Linked DNA regions of Caenorhabditis elegans. The protein of the gene in region 2 purifies or fractionates together with the protein of the main gene of each other region. This does not show direct contact. Each region holds a gene or a part of one and is shown on either strand. Other genes may lie near its edges.

Region 1 (7,326 bases), 7.1 Mb from region 2:
TTTTTTTTCGTTCTTCTGGATTTTAAAAATCCGTTAAAAAAACGAAAAAACTTTTGTTTTTAGACTTTTCAAGTATTTATCAGATATTGTAGAACTATGTCTACTTTGTTGTATCATTAGACAACTAAAATGAACCATTTTAGAGGGGTTAAAAAATTTCGAATTTTCGCCACTTTTTATAGTTTTCTTTTTTATAGTATTCGGAGATCAATTTTGAGGGCAAAAAAAATAATTTTTTGATTTGAAAATGTTTTACCAGTTGTCTTTACAAATGAGAATATTGAATTTCTTGGGTTCCTGATTTTTTCATTTTTGTCGATTTACGAGATTTGTGTCGATTTACGAAATGTCGAAATTTTTAATCTTTATTGGATACTCTTTCCGTTTTTCAACGAGTTTCCATCATCAGTTTTTGACGAAGTGGTTTTTTGAAAAGGTTTTTAGATTAATTTTTGGATTCCATATTTCTTAATGCATGTTTTAGTGAATTTTTGTTCAAGGAATGACTTCAAAAATGAATTTATGAAAATGAAATTAAAAGTTCGTGCAATGAGATGAAGCCGAAATATACATTAAAAATAAATAAATTCCAGAAAAAAAGTATATTGAGATCGAAATATCGGCACTTCTACACGTCGATTTTGGCGATTTGAGCCTGAATATCGTCCAGCGACATGGCGGTCTCGTCGGTGGGCGACACTTCTTGTCGCGTTTTCAGAAATGAGCACACTTTTTTGTGAATTGGCCAGTCGAATTTTTGGCATTCTTGGGAACAGTAGGCGAGCTGTAAAAATTGTTGGAATTTAAAAAACGTTTACTAGAGTTAAAAAATGTGTTGCCTGAAATTTTTAAACTCTTTTCCATTTTATCAAAATTTGGAAATTGTTTGCAATTTATAATGAGAATTGAGTTTTTTTTCACTTTTTAGCTATTCTGTTGTTGAAAAATTGGATATTTTTCAGAAAAAATTCTTTAATCGATATTTTGAGGCACCACATTTTCAAGATCTGGCGGAATTCCGGATCTCCGTTTTCCGGATCTACCATTTCCGGATCTGGCACCGTGCCAACTCTTAAAACGCTATTTTTCTCGGAGAAAAACGTGATAACGATGCTCCGTTGTTACGCGTCGCGTGTTGTTAAGCGTTTCTTCTAGAAGAAATTTTCAAAAAACAACGTGCGTCGAGTGAACAAAAAAGCGTTTTGTGCGTTGGCACGGTGCCAGATCCGGAAAACGTAGATCCGGAAATGGTAGATCCGGAAAACGTAGATCCGGAATTTCACCAGATCTTGAAAACGTTGTGCCTCGATATTTTCAGATATAGTTTTTAATTTTCAAATACAGCATATTATAGAAAACTTTTTTTAATAAAGGAAAAACAGGAAATTCAAAAAAATTGAACCTCGACACTTAAAATTTTGAAAAATTGGAAAAAGTATCAGAAATTAATTTTGACTAATACATTTACAGACAAAATGTTCTTTTTTCGATATTTACAGAATGTCTAGAATTTATTTTTGTTTTTTGAAGTTTTTTCCCGGATTTTCAAAGAGTATTTTACGGGAATTTTCTACAGAATGAATTTTTTTAAAAAGTTTTAATAATTCTTTTTTTTAATTTAAAGAATCTTTAAAGAATTGTTAGAGCTGCCAAATTTTGTAAATTAAAAACGAACTGAAATTTTGAAAACTTTCAATTTTTATTCGAGTTTCTCGGCATTTGGCTCTTGCTTCTTGCCCAAGTTTAGCCCAAAAAATGTTAACTTGGATCAGAAGCTGTCTAAACTTGGGCAAAAGTTAGGCAAGACTTTGGCAAAACTTGGATTCAAGCTTTACCAAAGTCTAACCCAAGTTTCACCCAACTCTTGCCAAACTTTGGCCCAAATTTGAAACGAAATAAGAAAAGTTTGGGCCAAAGTTTGGCAAGAGTTGGGTGAAACTTGGGTTAGACCTTGGTAAAGCTTGAATCCAAGTTTTGCCAAAGTTTTGTCTAACTTTTGCCCAAGTTTAGACAGCTTCAAGTTAATATTTTTTGGGCTAAACTTGGGCAAGAAGCTAGAGCCAAATGCCGAGTTTGTGGGAAAATTCATAAAATGTAACGGAATAAAATTTTTTCCATATTTTTAAAATTTGGAATTGATTATTTCCCAAATTCGAGCTTTATTAAATTATTAAATAATTATTTTTAACCCTAAAAACTCCATACTTTGCACTGTGTGCACCGTTTCTTGGCTCCAGGATGTCCGCAAACCGAGCAAAACTGGCAGACCGCAGCGATTCGTTGTCCGAAAAGTGCCTGAACAATGTATTCATAGGCACTTGGTCGTTCACCAATTTGACTTTTTTGCAGTGCTTTTTGTAGAGTATCATGAAGTAATGAATGTTTATACGGGAACGAAGCAACCGCATTTCTCAGCATCACGTCAAGTGCTCGCCTAGTTTCATCGCCCTCTTGCCACGTGGAAATCAGTTTTGCGTACTGTAGAGACGCTTCTTCTGGCGACTTTTCCTTGTTCGACTCCACGAATTTCGAGGTTTCACGCATTGAAAATAGAATTAGCCAAAGCTTGAGCGACATTATTTCATTGCTTTCCTTACATCGAAGCTGTTTCTCGAAGACACGATCGATGACGTAGAGGATCTGGAAAATGGGTGGTTTTTGCTTTGAAAAAAAAATATAAAAAAATAGTGTCCGTTTGTTAAGTAGTGACGTCATAGTTTACAAAGGCAAGGCGTTTTCGGCTGATGGAGGGATATTAGTTTGGGCTTAGTAGTGGGATATGGTCGGGGTACTGTAGTAGTACTGTAGGAGTACTGTAGGAGTACGGTAGGATTACTGTAGTTTAGGAAAAATTGTGTTTTAGTCTTTTGAAGAGATATAGGTTTGGGGTTAGTAGTGGGATATGGTGGGGGTACTGTAGTAGTACTGTAGGAGTACGGTAGGATTACTGTAGTTTAGGAAAAATTGTGTTTTAGTCTTTTGAAGAGATATAGGTTTGGGGTTAGTAGTGGGATATGGTCGGGGTACTGTAGTAGTACTGTAGAGGTACTGTAGGAGTACTGTACATATTTTGGCGGGAAATTCGAATTTTAATTTTTTGAAAACATTTTGGCGGGAATTCAAATTTGAATTTTTTGAAAACATTATTCTGGATTGTTCTAGAACCTTTTGGAAATTTCGAGAAAATTCTGAAATATTCTAGAACCTTCTGAAAATTTCGAGAAAATTCTGTAATGTTCTAGAACCTTTTGGAAATTTCGAGAAAATTCTGTAATGTTCTAGAACCTTTTGGAAATTTCGAGAAAATTCTGAAATATTCTAGAACCTTCTGAAAATTTCGAGAAAATTCTGAAATGTTCTAGAACCTTTTGGAAATTTCGAGAAAATTCTGAAATATTCTAGAACCTTCTGAAAATTTCGAGAAAATTCTGGAATGTTCTAGAACCTTCTGGAAATTTCGAGAAAATTATGTAATGTTCTAGAACCTTTTGGAAATTTCGAGAAAATTCTGAACTATTCTAGAACCTTCTGAAAATTTCGAGAAAATTCTGGAATGTTCTAGAACCTTCTGAAAATTTCGAGAAAATTCTGAAATGTTCTAGAACCTTTTGGAAATTTCGAGAAAATTCTGAAATATTCTAGAACCTTCTGAAAATTTCGAGAAAATTCTGGTTTATTATAACAAAAAGAACACAATTTTTACATTTTTTTTGGGTTTTCGGTTTATTTTAATCTCGAAAAACATTTAACATCAAAAGTTTTTTTTTTAATTTCTAGTTTTTAACAAATTCAGAAATTCGAAAAAATCGATCTGAAAACTACTGATACCTAATTCGATTCAATTTTTAAATTCTGAAAAATTTCAAAAATTTATTTTAATAAAAGTTTTTTTAGTTTCGAATATTTTCGCATTTTCAAACATTTTTTCACAGAAAGAATCATTTCTGAAAATATTTTGAAAAAATCAATTTTTAGGCAAAATTCAGGAAGAGATCTCAAATTTGAAAAACGATGAGAAAAACCGAGAAAAAGTGAAAAATTTTGATTACTAAAAGTTTTTATTTGGTATAACTTTTTTGTTTTGAAATTAAAAAGAATGCTTTATTAAATTTTTTAAAAAACTTTTTGGATTTTTTTGAAAATAAGAATGAACAAAAATGCGCATCTTGAAAAAGCTTAAGGAAATTTCTCAAATTTTCAGATTTTTCGTTTTTTTTCCAAACTACACAGCTATGTACCTTTTTCTTATACTTCAACGAATCGGGATATTTACTGAATCGAAAAATAATCTTAACAGGATGAATCTCATGTGATCCACACAATGAATGAATAAATACAGCCAGCTCATCCGGATATTCCTCAGCTCCTTCATATTTTCCATTCACTTTTGGCCGCAAAAGATCTTCGATCACATCAATTGTTATATGATTATTGATAATTGCCACACACTCGTGATGACCCACAAATGCCGCCAGTTCAGAGGCGGTTTTTCCGATTCCATTCACCAAATACATACGGGCTCCGGAGTCCATTAGCAGGCGGCATACGTCCTGTTTTCCTGCAAACGTTTGACAATTTTGCTTTGAAAAAAAAAGTTTGCGCGTCAAATATGGTGTATTCGAATTTTTTTTTTGGAAAAACTAAGAAAGTAGTAATACGTTAACGCAAAATTCTGAGAATGTGTATTGAGCATATTTGACGCGCAAAATATCTCGTAGCGAAAACTACAGTAATTCATTAAATGACTACGGTAGCGCTTGTGGTGATTTACGGGCTCGATTTTTTTGAAATTAATGATTTTTAATAACGAGCCCGTAAATCGACACAAGCGTTACCGTAGTCATTTAATGAATTACTGTAGTTTTCGCTACGAGATATTTTGCGCGTCAAATATGTTGACCAGTACGCATTTTCAGAATTTTGTGTTCCGGTAATATTTCGAATTGAAATTTGAATTTTTGAGCTTGAAAACGATCAAAAAAAGAAAATAGAACTTTACGAGGATTTTAAATAAAAATTTAACATTTGCGCGTAAAATATAGTGTATTGGTTTTTTTTTTTTCAAATATTGGGGTTCAGCCTAAAAATATTGTAAAAACGGAAAAAAGTTTCAAAAATTTGAATTTGCGCGTCAAATGTGTTGTATTTGGTGCAAAAAAAAATTGCGAATATTGGGTCTCACCGCGAAAACCATAAAATTTCGATGACTTTTCGCTAAATTGAATTTCAGATCAAAAATACGTGATTTGGGTCTAATTTTCCACGATTTTTCACTTAAAAGTTTGTTGTTAGCATAAAAATCGATTTTTTCGGAATTTTTTTTTACTTTTCAACGGTAAAAAACCAGAATTTGCATCAAATTTGACGCAAAAAATTTTTTTAAAAAATTTTTGCCCTACCTGATAAGGCGGCAAACATGAGTGGAGTGTACAGAGTTCCATCGGTTTTATCATTCACATCACATTTCAGCTCAATCGCTTTCTCGACCAACGTAAGATTTCCTCTGAAATTCAACGGATTACGGTATGTACCTTTAAACAATCTGCGAGGATACAGTAACCGTCGCCGCTTTAAAGGTGCATACCTATACGCGGCAGCTGCCAGCACACTCATTCCACTGGGATCCCGTTGAGCGGCTTGTTCCTTCGTTTTCAGCAGTGCCAGCGCTGCTTCAGTGTCATTTTTGTCGATTGCCTCGAAAAGCGGCGATTTGGGAGCTTCTTCCGTTGTCGTCATTTCTGCAGAAAACGGGAATTTTTTAATAATGTCGTGGCGAGATCCAAGGTTTGAGAAAATTGGAAAAATTTATGAGTAATATACAATTTTTTGATTTTTTACAGAAAAACACCTAAAAATCTAAGCATGAATAGGGATTTGGATTAAAATAAAAAATAAAAAAACTAAAATATTGTGAATTTTTATGCCTCTATGAAATTTCGATTTTTCGCGGCGGAGACATGTGTGTCGATTTACGAAATATTTAATCTTTATCGAATGATGATTTTCGTTTTTCGACGAGTTTCATTCATTTTTCCCAATAATTTTTTTAATATTGAAAAAACCAAATAAATGGTTTTCCTGACTGAAAACTGAATATTTTTCTAGTTTTTTGACCTTAAAAAATACACTTTCAAAAAAAAAAAACAAAAAAAAACCAACGAAAATGAAGACAACTCGTAGAAAAACGGAAATCAGCATTCGATAATGATTAAAAACATATCGTAAATATACATAACCCTCGTAAATCGACACACAATTGTCAGAAAGTCAAAATTCGGCGAGCAAATTCAAAAAATTGAAAATTTTACATATAAATGTTTTTAATATCGAAATTGTCTAATAGTTATATAAAATTCGAGTTCTCCAGAACATTCGTCAAAACCGCCACATCTGCCATATCTCTCCAATGACCGGATGAGCCATTAAGGATTTGGAAGAGGAAATGAGAGAAAGGGGCGGGGCGGGGCGGGGATGAGGATACTATGGCAACGGGTGGGAATGATGATAAATGTGTATTCCCAAAATATTCTCGAACGTACGTAAATGCATATATTATGAATATTTCAAAAGGTGCGTATATTTAGAATATATGAACGAAATATTACACACGCAAGCATATTAATTTACGCGCATTTTCGCCAAAAATGGTACAATACAGGGGTGAACGGCAAACGATTTTTTTGGCAAATTGTCGTTTTTCAAATTTTCGGCAATTACCGATTTGCCGGAACAACATGTGCACATCCCATGAAAACATCTATCCTAAAAAGTCAGTAAATTCTATGAAAATATTTAGAGAAAACGGGCAAAAAATTAAAAATGGCAGTTTTAAGTGTTTCCGTCTTATAAAAGATCCCGTTTAAAAACTTCCGGCAAACGGAATTTTGCCGGGATTGAAAATTTCCGGCAAACCGGCAATTTGCCGAACTGCAATTGCCGCCCACCCGTGATTTCGTGGCGAGACCCTTTCCCGAAAGTTTGAGAGTTTGCAGAGTTGAGGAGATGTAAGTGAAGCTAATTACGGAACAACTGTGTGACTCGTAGACTCAAAATTTCCAGAAATGAGAAAATTTCGAGAATTCTGAACAAAAAACTCCATAAATTGGAAATCGCTCTAAGTTTGAGCCAAAATTTGCTGACTTACGAACTATAATGGATGATTTTAGCACAAGAATTTTTTAACCTAAAAAAACTCAAAATTCCAATAAAATCAGATATTCGAGTTAGAGGGGTATTTTCAATGTAAAGTTTAAAAACTTTTTAGAAAATGCGCGAGTCAATTGGAAAACTTCAAAAATTAATCGAGATATTGACAAACGTATGTGA
Region 2 (6,935 bases):
CCAATTACTTTCGAATGATTTTCTCAACGAATGACATCTTTGATGCAACCGGATTTTATGCACATTATCAGTTTATCACTCAAGAGAAATCTCAAATCAGTCGGGTCAAGCTCACGATATCTTCTAGCCAAACTCCGTTCTCCTCATTTTTCCTTGTGATATTATTGTTCACCTTTCGATACATTGCCAACATTTTTTAGCTGACTTAAATACATTTTTTCGTGTTTTTTTTTAGTTTTTATAAATTTGTTTTCTTTGTTCATTTATTGAACACTTTAATGTTTTCATTGAAAACAGTCAAATTCAATTCAAAATGAATTTAACTTTCTCTGGAAAAAAACTCTTTTGGATTTTAGAAATATGGGTTAAACCGGGAAAACGCAAACGTCCATCTTCCTCAGCTTACTAGAAAAATAACTATTTCGCATGCAAAAACAGGCAAGGAAAGCTTTCTTTTCTCGAAAAAGTACCTGAAATTCGGAAAATCGGACTTGTATCAAAATCAAAAACTAAAAGATCATACATTTATTCAAGTAAAGGTTTTTTCATTAGCATTATTTTGTTCCTTCTTGTCATTTCATCTTATTTCTTATTGAGCTGCACCTGGACCGAAATCCTCGTAACCATCGTCCATTTTTGTCTTCTTCCCGTCGTCCTTCATAACCATATCCATTCCACTTATCTCCATGTTCTGAAAATTATGATATTAGAAATTTTAAAGTGGAAAAATGATTCAACATTAGTTAAAAATCAGTGTATATTTGATATGATTTAACCTTGCTTGTTTTTTCCTCTTCTTTCTTCTTTGGCTGTTCCTTTGGTTGTTCTTTTGGTTGTTCCTTCAATGGGGGTTTAGCTATATCCTTTACTACATCCTTCGCCTGATCCTTAGGTTGCTCCTTAGGCTGCTCCTTTGGTTGCTCTTTTGGTTGCTCTTTTGGTTGCTCCTTTACCAATTGATCCTTCGATTGTTCCTTCTTCGGTGCCTCCTTCTTTCTCTCTTTCCCAACATCTTCTTTTGTCATTCTTAAAACATCCTTATCATCACGTCGTTTTTCTTTCTCATATTCTTTTGGATCCGTCGATGTCACGGATTTTGAATGCGTGAGAGTGGAGGTTTTCTTCTTGGCTGTCTTCGTCTTTGATCTCTTTTTCTCCGCACCTTCTTTCTTTGTATTCTTGCTTTTGTTGCCCATTTCAATCCTTATTGCAATAAATCGAAAGTCTACAATAAATCAAAATATATAAGTTGAGCAGAAAAAAAAAATTACCAACAAGTTCTTATGTACAGCTTCTAGGACCTAGGTGGAAATAACCACAATTTTTTATAAACTAGGCACGTTTGCATAATGATAAGTCTCACGGCAAAACCATATTGTTATTAATTAATTTAAATTAATTAAAATTCCACTTCTCAAAGGACAGTATGGAAATTTCACGAATTTTCAAATTGACTCGGATAACGTGACTTTGTGTAATTTGAATCGAAACATGCTCGATCGATAGAAAGTTGGAGAAATGTCCACGCAGCCCCAATTTAGTTTGCTATGGCATGGAACACCTCAAAGCGTGTATTACTATTTTCACACAAAGCCTTCTAAGGAGGCACATAAAAATTCGCCTGCCTACCTATGCCTACTGTTATGTTATCCGGAAATTATATATTTTTTTGATTTTCGAAAGAAAATTGATGGGAAAAGATTAAATATGTAAATCTACGCTATGCAAGCACCAACCACTGGCGACCGCGCGGAAGTTCTGAAAAAAGTAGGCGGTTGGTAGGCAGGTAGGTGAAGGCCTGCCTCCTAGACACAAAGTTGTACACACTGTTCGCGGTGAGCTAACAAAGAGAGAAGCTCTAATCGGTAAAAAAATGTTGCAAACAAACTCACTTTTTCAACCGAGAAACAAGAAAAATACGAACGTCGAGTTGCTCAAAACTTAGCAATGGCAAATATGAATTCAGAAACTTCATATTTATTAAACAAAATATTCGCCCGTGGAATCTTATTAAAATTAAATAAGAAAAATTCACGTTTTCAATTCATGCATAAATATGAAAATTTTCTTTTTTTTAAGTCTCTCGAAAAATTTTAGTTATCTCAATTGCTAAAACGATATTTTTCCACGGAACCTCAATTAGAAAAAATTAGTTCTGGAAGCATTATTCTGCCGGTATAGTTTCCTACAGTACTGCAGAAACTTTTTTATTCTCATAGTAAATGAATAGTAAAACATAAAACTAGATATCAAACGGTTGTGTTGTAATAAAAGATGAATATCGGAACAAGAAACCGATTGGATCAGTACAAAAATAATTCATATATAAGTAAGTGGAAATGGAAGAAAACATCACTCATTTGGTATCCAATGTCCCACAGTACATCCTATTATTTTATTCTTTCGTCGACGATCGGCTGCTCGTTGATCGTTGTCGCATCATTGCTGACTCTTTACTCAATTTCTCTTGATATTCAACAATTTGAAATGAATATCAACAGCGAAATGGTTCATTTCAAATCTCGAGCCAATGATGTTTGGAATAAAATGGTTCGAGAAAATCTTCCTCAGAATCAAGCAACGTCTCCATCATTTGGAAGATATATTCTTGCAAAGAGAGCTGCTGGATATGCAACCGGCGGAGGTACAGAAAGAGAATGTAACTGTGCTGCTCAATCAACTGGTTGTCCAGCAGGACCACCAGGAGCACCAGGAGAAGATGGAGCGCCTGGAGAGCCTGGAACCGCTGGAACTGATGGAGAGAATGGAGCTGCAGGAGTTGCTGATAGTTTCCTTGGAGTCGAAGGTAACTGTATCAAATGTCCTGCTGGACCACCAGGGCCACCGGGACCAGATGGAAATGCTGGACCAGAAGGACCATCAGGAGCTCCTGGAGCTGATGGAGATGCTGCTGGACCAGGAGAAGCTGGACCAGCAGGACCAGCCGGACCACCGGGGCCAGATGGGCAGCCAGGAGCACCAGGACCAAATGGACAACCAGGAGCCGCAGGAACTACAAGTACCAACGAACCGGGATCTCCTGGACCGGCTGGACCTCCAGGACCAGCTGGACCAGCTGGAGAAGACGCTGCTGCTCCAGAATCCCCACCAGGACCACCGGGGCCACCGGGCCCACCAGGAAAAGACGGAGAAGCAGGAGCTCCAGGAGCGCCAGGAGGGCCAGGAACAGATGGAGCACCAGGAGTCGACGCCGCCTATTGTCCATGCCCACCAAGAACAGCAGGATTGGCCCAAGAAGCTCCAGCAGGTGCTGCTACAGGTGCGGATGCAAGCTCTGGAGCTGCCGGTGGTGCACCGGATGCAGGAGCTGGAGCTGGAGATGGAGCCACAGGAACATACAGTGGAAGCGCTGTCGTCCGTCGTCGTGCTCGATTCTAATCAACTTAAATTTTTCTGGAATGTGATGAATTTTATTGCAATAAAATTTCTTCAAGCTAAACAGTATTGATTTTATTATTTTCAGCTGTAAACATTTGATAACATGAAACAAAAAATCATAGCAAAACCACATAAGCTCCTCTCGGTGCTTTCGAATTATTTTAGATATTTGTATAATATCAGAACAGTAACTTTCAAATGATTTCGAAACTATCTTCAAATACTCAATTCCGAAATTTTTAAAATTTTTTTCAAACAAATTTTTTTTTTCTAAAATCTGAACATTTTGACATGTTCCCTCTAATATTCTTTTGAAGATTGATCTCATGTTTCGGCTGAAATTTTTCATTATCGTCCTCCTTTGCTGAGTATCTATATCTCTTTTCCTCCCAGTTGCCAATACTTTAAAACAATAATGCGGGGCCGAAAAATGCTTCTTCATTCTTGCTCCTCGAGTAGCACAGAGAGAAAGATCCTCTGTGCTCCCGGACCCTTCTGCCATTTCAACGAAGGCACAAAAAGAAATGTGATAGAGAAGCATGTGTAGTAGAAGAAGAGTGTGAGATGTGGGCTTGTCACTGAAGAGTTCAGAGAGTGTACGGTGGCAAAAAAAGATATTGAGATGGCAGTGGAGACCGATGAGAGAGAATGGGCGGCTTCTGGAGGGAATTCTATTGAAGAGATTCTTTGTAATGATCACGAAAAAAATGGATGGACAAAAGATGGAAAGGTGACAAATATATAGCTATTAATCAAAATTGCATAACTTAAAAATATGCAAATATCTTTAAAAAATGTTGTTTTTAGATCTTCTCCTAATAAAAGGAATAGTGCTAAAAACAAAAAAGATAAAATGAAATACGGTCTACAAGTATATTTCACTTTAACATGTTTCACTGCATAAATCTGGAAGATATCAACAAATTAAAATGCTTTGATCTACCTTTGTTTTGGATAGTTGTCTACAAAATGATAAATCCAGTAGTTCCAAGTTTCTATCTTGAGAGAAAACTTACAGCATTATTAGCATATATTCTCGAAGTTATGTTAAAAATAATTTTAACAAGCGGCAGCACTGCTAGAAATCTTGTGGAAATCGTATGCAAGGTTTAACCAAAATCTGGCCTTACTAAAGTCTAACAAAAACTATTCAAAGGTATGTCCACTCTTTGTAAAAGTTAAATATAAATGGTCTACCGTTTTCTATTACATTTTATAAGTTTTTGTCACGTTTTGGAATGGAAATGTGCGACAATCGATATTTCCTCAGAAAGTTGTTAGCGGGGTAAAACCATCCTAGTTTTTGCAATCAATAAACATCAACTTACAATGTTCAAGATTTTTTCTTTATAATCAAATCTGAAATTAAGTTCAAACGAATGTCAGTACATTTCACCATCCCCTGCTTCTGCAACCAACTAATTATCTCGGTCATCACGATTTGTCAGCTGACACTGCTCAACAAGAGTATTTTGTTGTCTGGTTGATCAGTCGTAATGGAAGTAAAATTCTGAAAATTTAGAAAAGATTTTGAAATTTCACAACACTTATTTAAAAATGACATGAGTCACAAGAAGTAACGGGATTTGGAGTGAAAACGTTGATTTTTTGACGTCATGACACAATTTCAGTTTGAAAATCAGTTTATCAAGCCTATTTTTCATTAATGAAAAAACATTCGGAAGAGCCGATATATTGGAAATTGAATACCAAGTTATTATAGAAGTAATAAAAACTTGATTTCATCACAATTTGTTGTGATACGCTCCCCCACCCCCTCACACACGCACACACACACACATTCTCCGGGATACACTCAATTATTACACACTTCGCACTTATTTCTTCAGAATATGAGATCCAAGAACTTTTTAAAACATTGATCAGATCATATATGACAAGGCTATCAATTAAGGAAGTGTATTAATAGATATGGACAAGAAGAGAGCATAACTATCTGTAATTAAGGAATTTCAAATAGTTGACAACCGAGTTTTGGAATTCTTCAATATTTCGACTGTATAGACGTATTACCATTAATAGAAGACTTTTATAAATTTATGAAAATGGATCATCTAAAAGGTAACAGTATAGTTCTGAGAAACTTTAATGAAAATTGGAGACAACCCAGGCTTGAAGAGCCTGAATAAAGTAAGAGTTGATTACTGATAGGTGGAATGGCATTCGATTAATGGCAGTTCAGTCTCGCTTTTTCTGGTTTTGTGTTTCTTTTTTCTTAAGTGGTCTTCGTTTTACTATCCGTTCGTCAAAGTTCACACCTGCCCTTTCGGACATTCAAAAGGCACACACAAACACGAGTTGAAGTTTTTGGTGGATCCCGATGTTTTTTGTCTGTGCTCATCCCTTTTTGCTGAATTTCTTCCGTGTCGCCTCAACCCGAACCAAACCAATATCATTCGAATGTTTAAAACCTCCTGGCCCGCGGGTGCCTGATGCATCGTCTGCGCTTCGGCTCTCGGCGCGCTCTTCTCGAGATCGTATCCCGCCAACTCGTTGGCAAAAACACAATGGCATTTATCAGATACGCAGCGTAGAGTGGGAGGGTGGCTCAGTGCTAGGCAAGAAGGATTACACTGAGGCTCCTCTCTCGCTCCCTGCCGGGCACACTACCTTCGTAGAAGTTGATGATGAGAGATACTTGGAGACAGAGAGACGATCGACGACGCAACGGCGCGGGATGAGATATGTGTGTATGTGTCTTCCCGACGGCAGAGCCCCAACGCACAATCAGTCAGTCTCGAAGCAGCCAGCCAGCCAGCAGCACACACAGGGGCACCATCCATTTGAATACTCCATTTGATCATGTCATTGTATCGTTCGCCATCCGCTGCTCTTCTTAAGAGCCCGTCGCAAGCAGCGTTCGGTGCTCCATTTGGCAGCATGTCCGTCGCCGATCTTGGATCACTCACCAGACTCGAGGTAAATTTTTGAATGTTTTCTACCATTTCTGAACATTTCACTGCCAAAACCCCAAAACCCGTGTTCCATTTTTCATCGAATCGATGTTTCATTGACTGATATTTTGAATTATATCTGTAATTTAAATTTTAGTAAAAAAGGCATCTAATATAGCAACGAAGAATTGAAAAACTTGAAAAATCTCAAATTGTAGTTTTACAGTACTCCTCAGTCTCAAGAAAAATGTTTGTTTTGTCCCTAAATTGAATGATTGACAAATAACGGCGTTTTCAGTTTTGTAAATATTATTTTTCTGCATCAAAATGTATGGAATAAAACAATATTCCGAGCCAAAACACTATTTTCAGAAAAATTTTTAAACTTCCTAGTTTTCTCTATAATTAAACCTTTAGATTCCTTATTCTAAATCTTCATTTTGAAAAATCTGTTCATCATTCATCTCGGCAACTAGTTTCTTTGTGTAACTAAGATTTGCAACCTTTGTTTAACTTACTGCTTGCTTACATATATTTCCAAGAAAAAGTAGAACCCTAATTCTCAGATTTTCAAATATAGCACTTATAAAAAACAAAAATTACGCTTTTTTTCTTTGAAAA

What was found. Proteins that work in one complex are often made in the same cells at the same time.
Region 1: the proteins of C15A11.2 (region 2) and daf-25 fractionate together in Caenorhabditis elegans (co-fractionation; one large-scale study listed by BioGRID). This does not show direct contact.

Annotation. Positions count from the first base shown.
Region 1 is NC_003279.8:331,023-338,348, reverse strand, and holds daf-25 (Dauer abnormal formation protein 25), read right to left. Parts: upstream 5,746-7,326; 5' UTR 5,737-5,745; coding exon 5,585-5,736; intron 5,504-5,584; coding exon 5,400-5,503; intron 4,559-5,399; coding exon 4,239-4,558; intron 2,641-4,238; coding exon 2,206-2,640; intron 785-2,205; coding exon 629-784; 3' UTR 504-628; downstream 1-503. UniProt on the Caenorhabditis elegans protein: May be involved in the trafficking and dendritic transport of signaling proteins, such as the receptor-type guanylate cyclases gcy-12 and daf-11, to the cilia.
Region 2 is NC_003279.8:7,382,371-7,389,305, reverse strand, and holds C15A11.2 (Protein PXR1-like), read right to left. Parts: upstream 4,909-6,935; 5' UTR 4,789-4,908; intron 3,400-4,788; coding exon of another isoform or gene 2,371-3,399; intron 2,101-2,370; exon of another isoform or gene 2,080-2,100; intron 1,226-2,079; 5' UTR 1,197-1,225; coding exon 777-1,196; intron 692-776; coding exon 590-691; 3' UTR 511-589; downstream 1-510. Other genes in the region: sol-1 (Suppressor of lurcher protein 1), read left to right, coding at 1-200; col-35 (Nematode cuticle collagen N-terminal domain-containing protein), read left to right, coding at 2,371-3,399; unc-15 (Paramyosin), read left to right, coding at 6,223-6,339.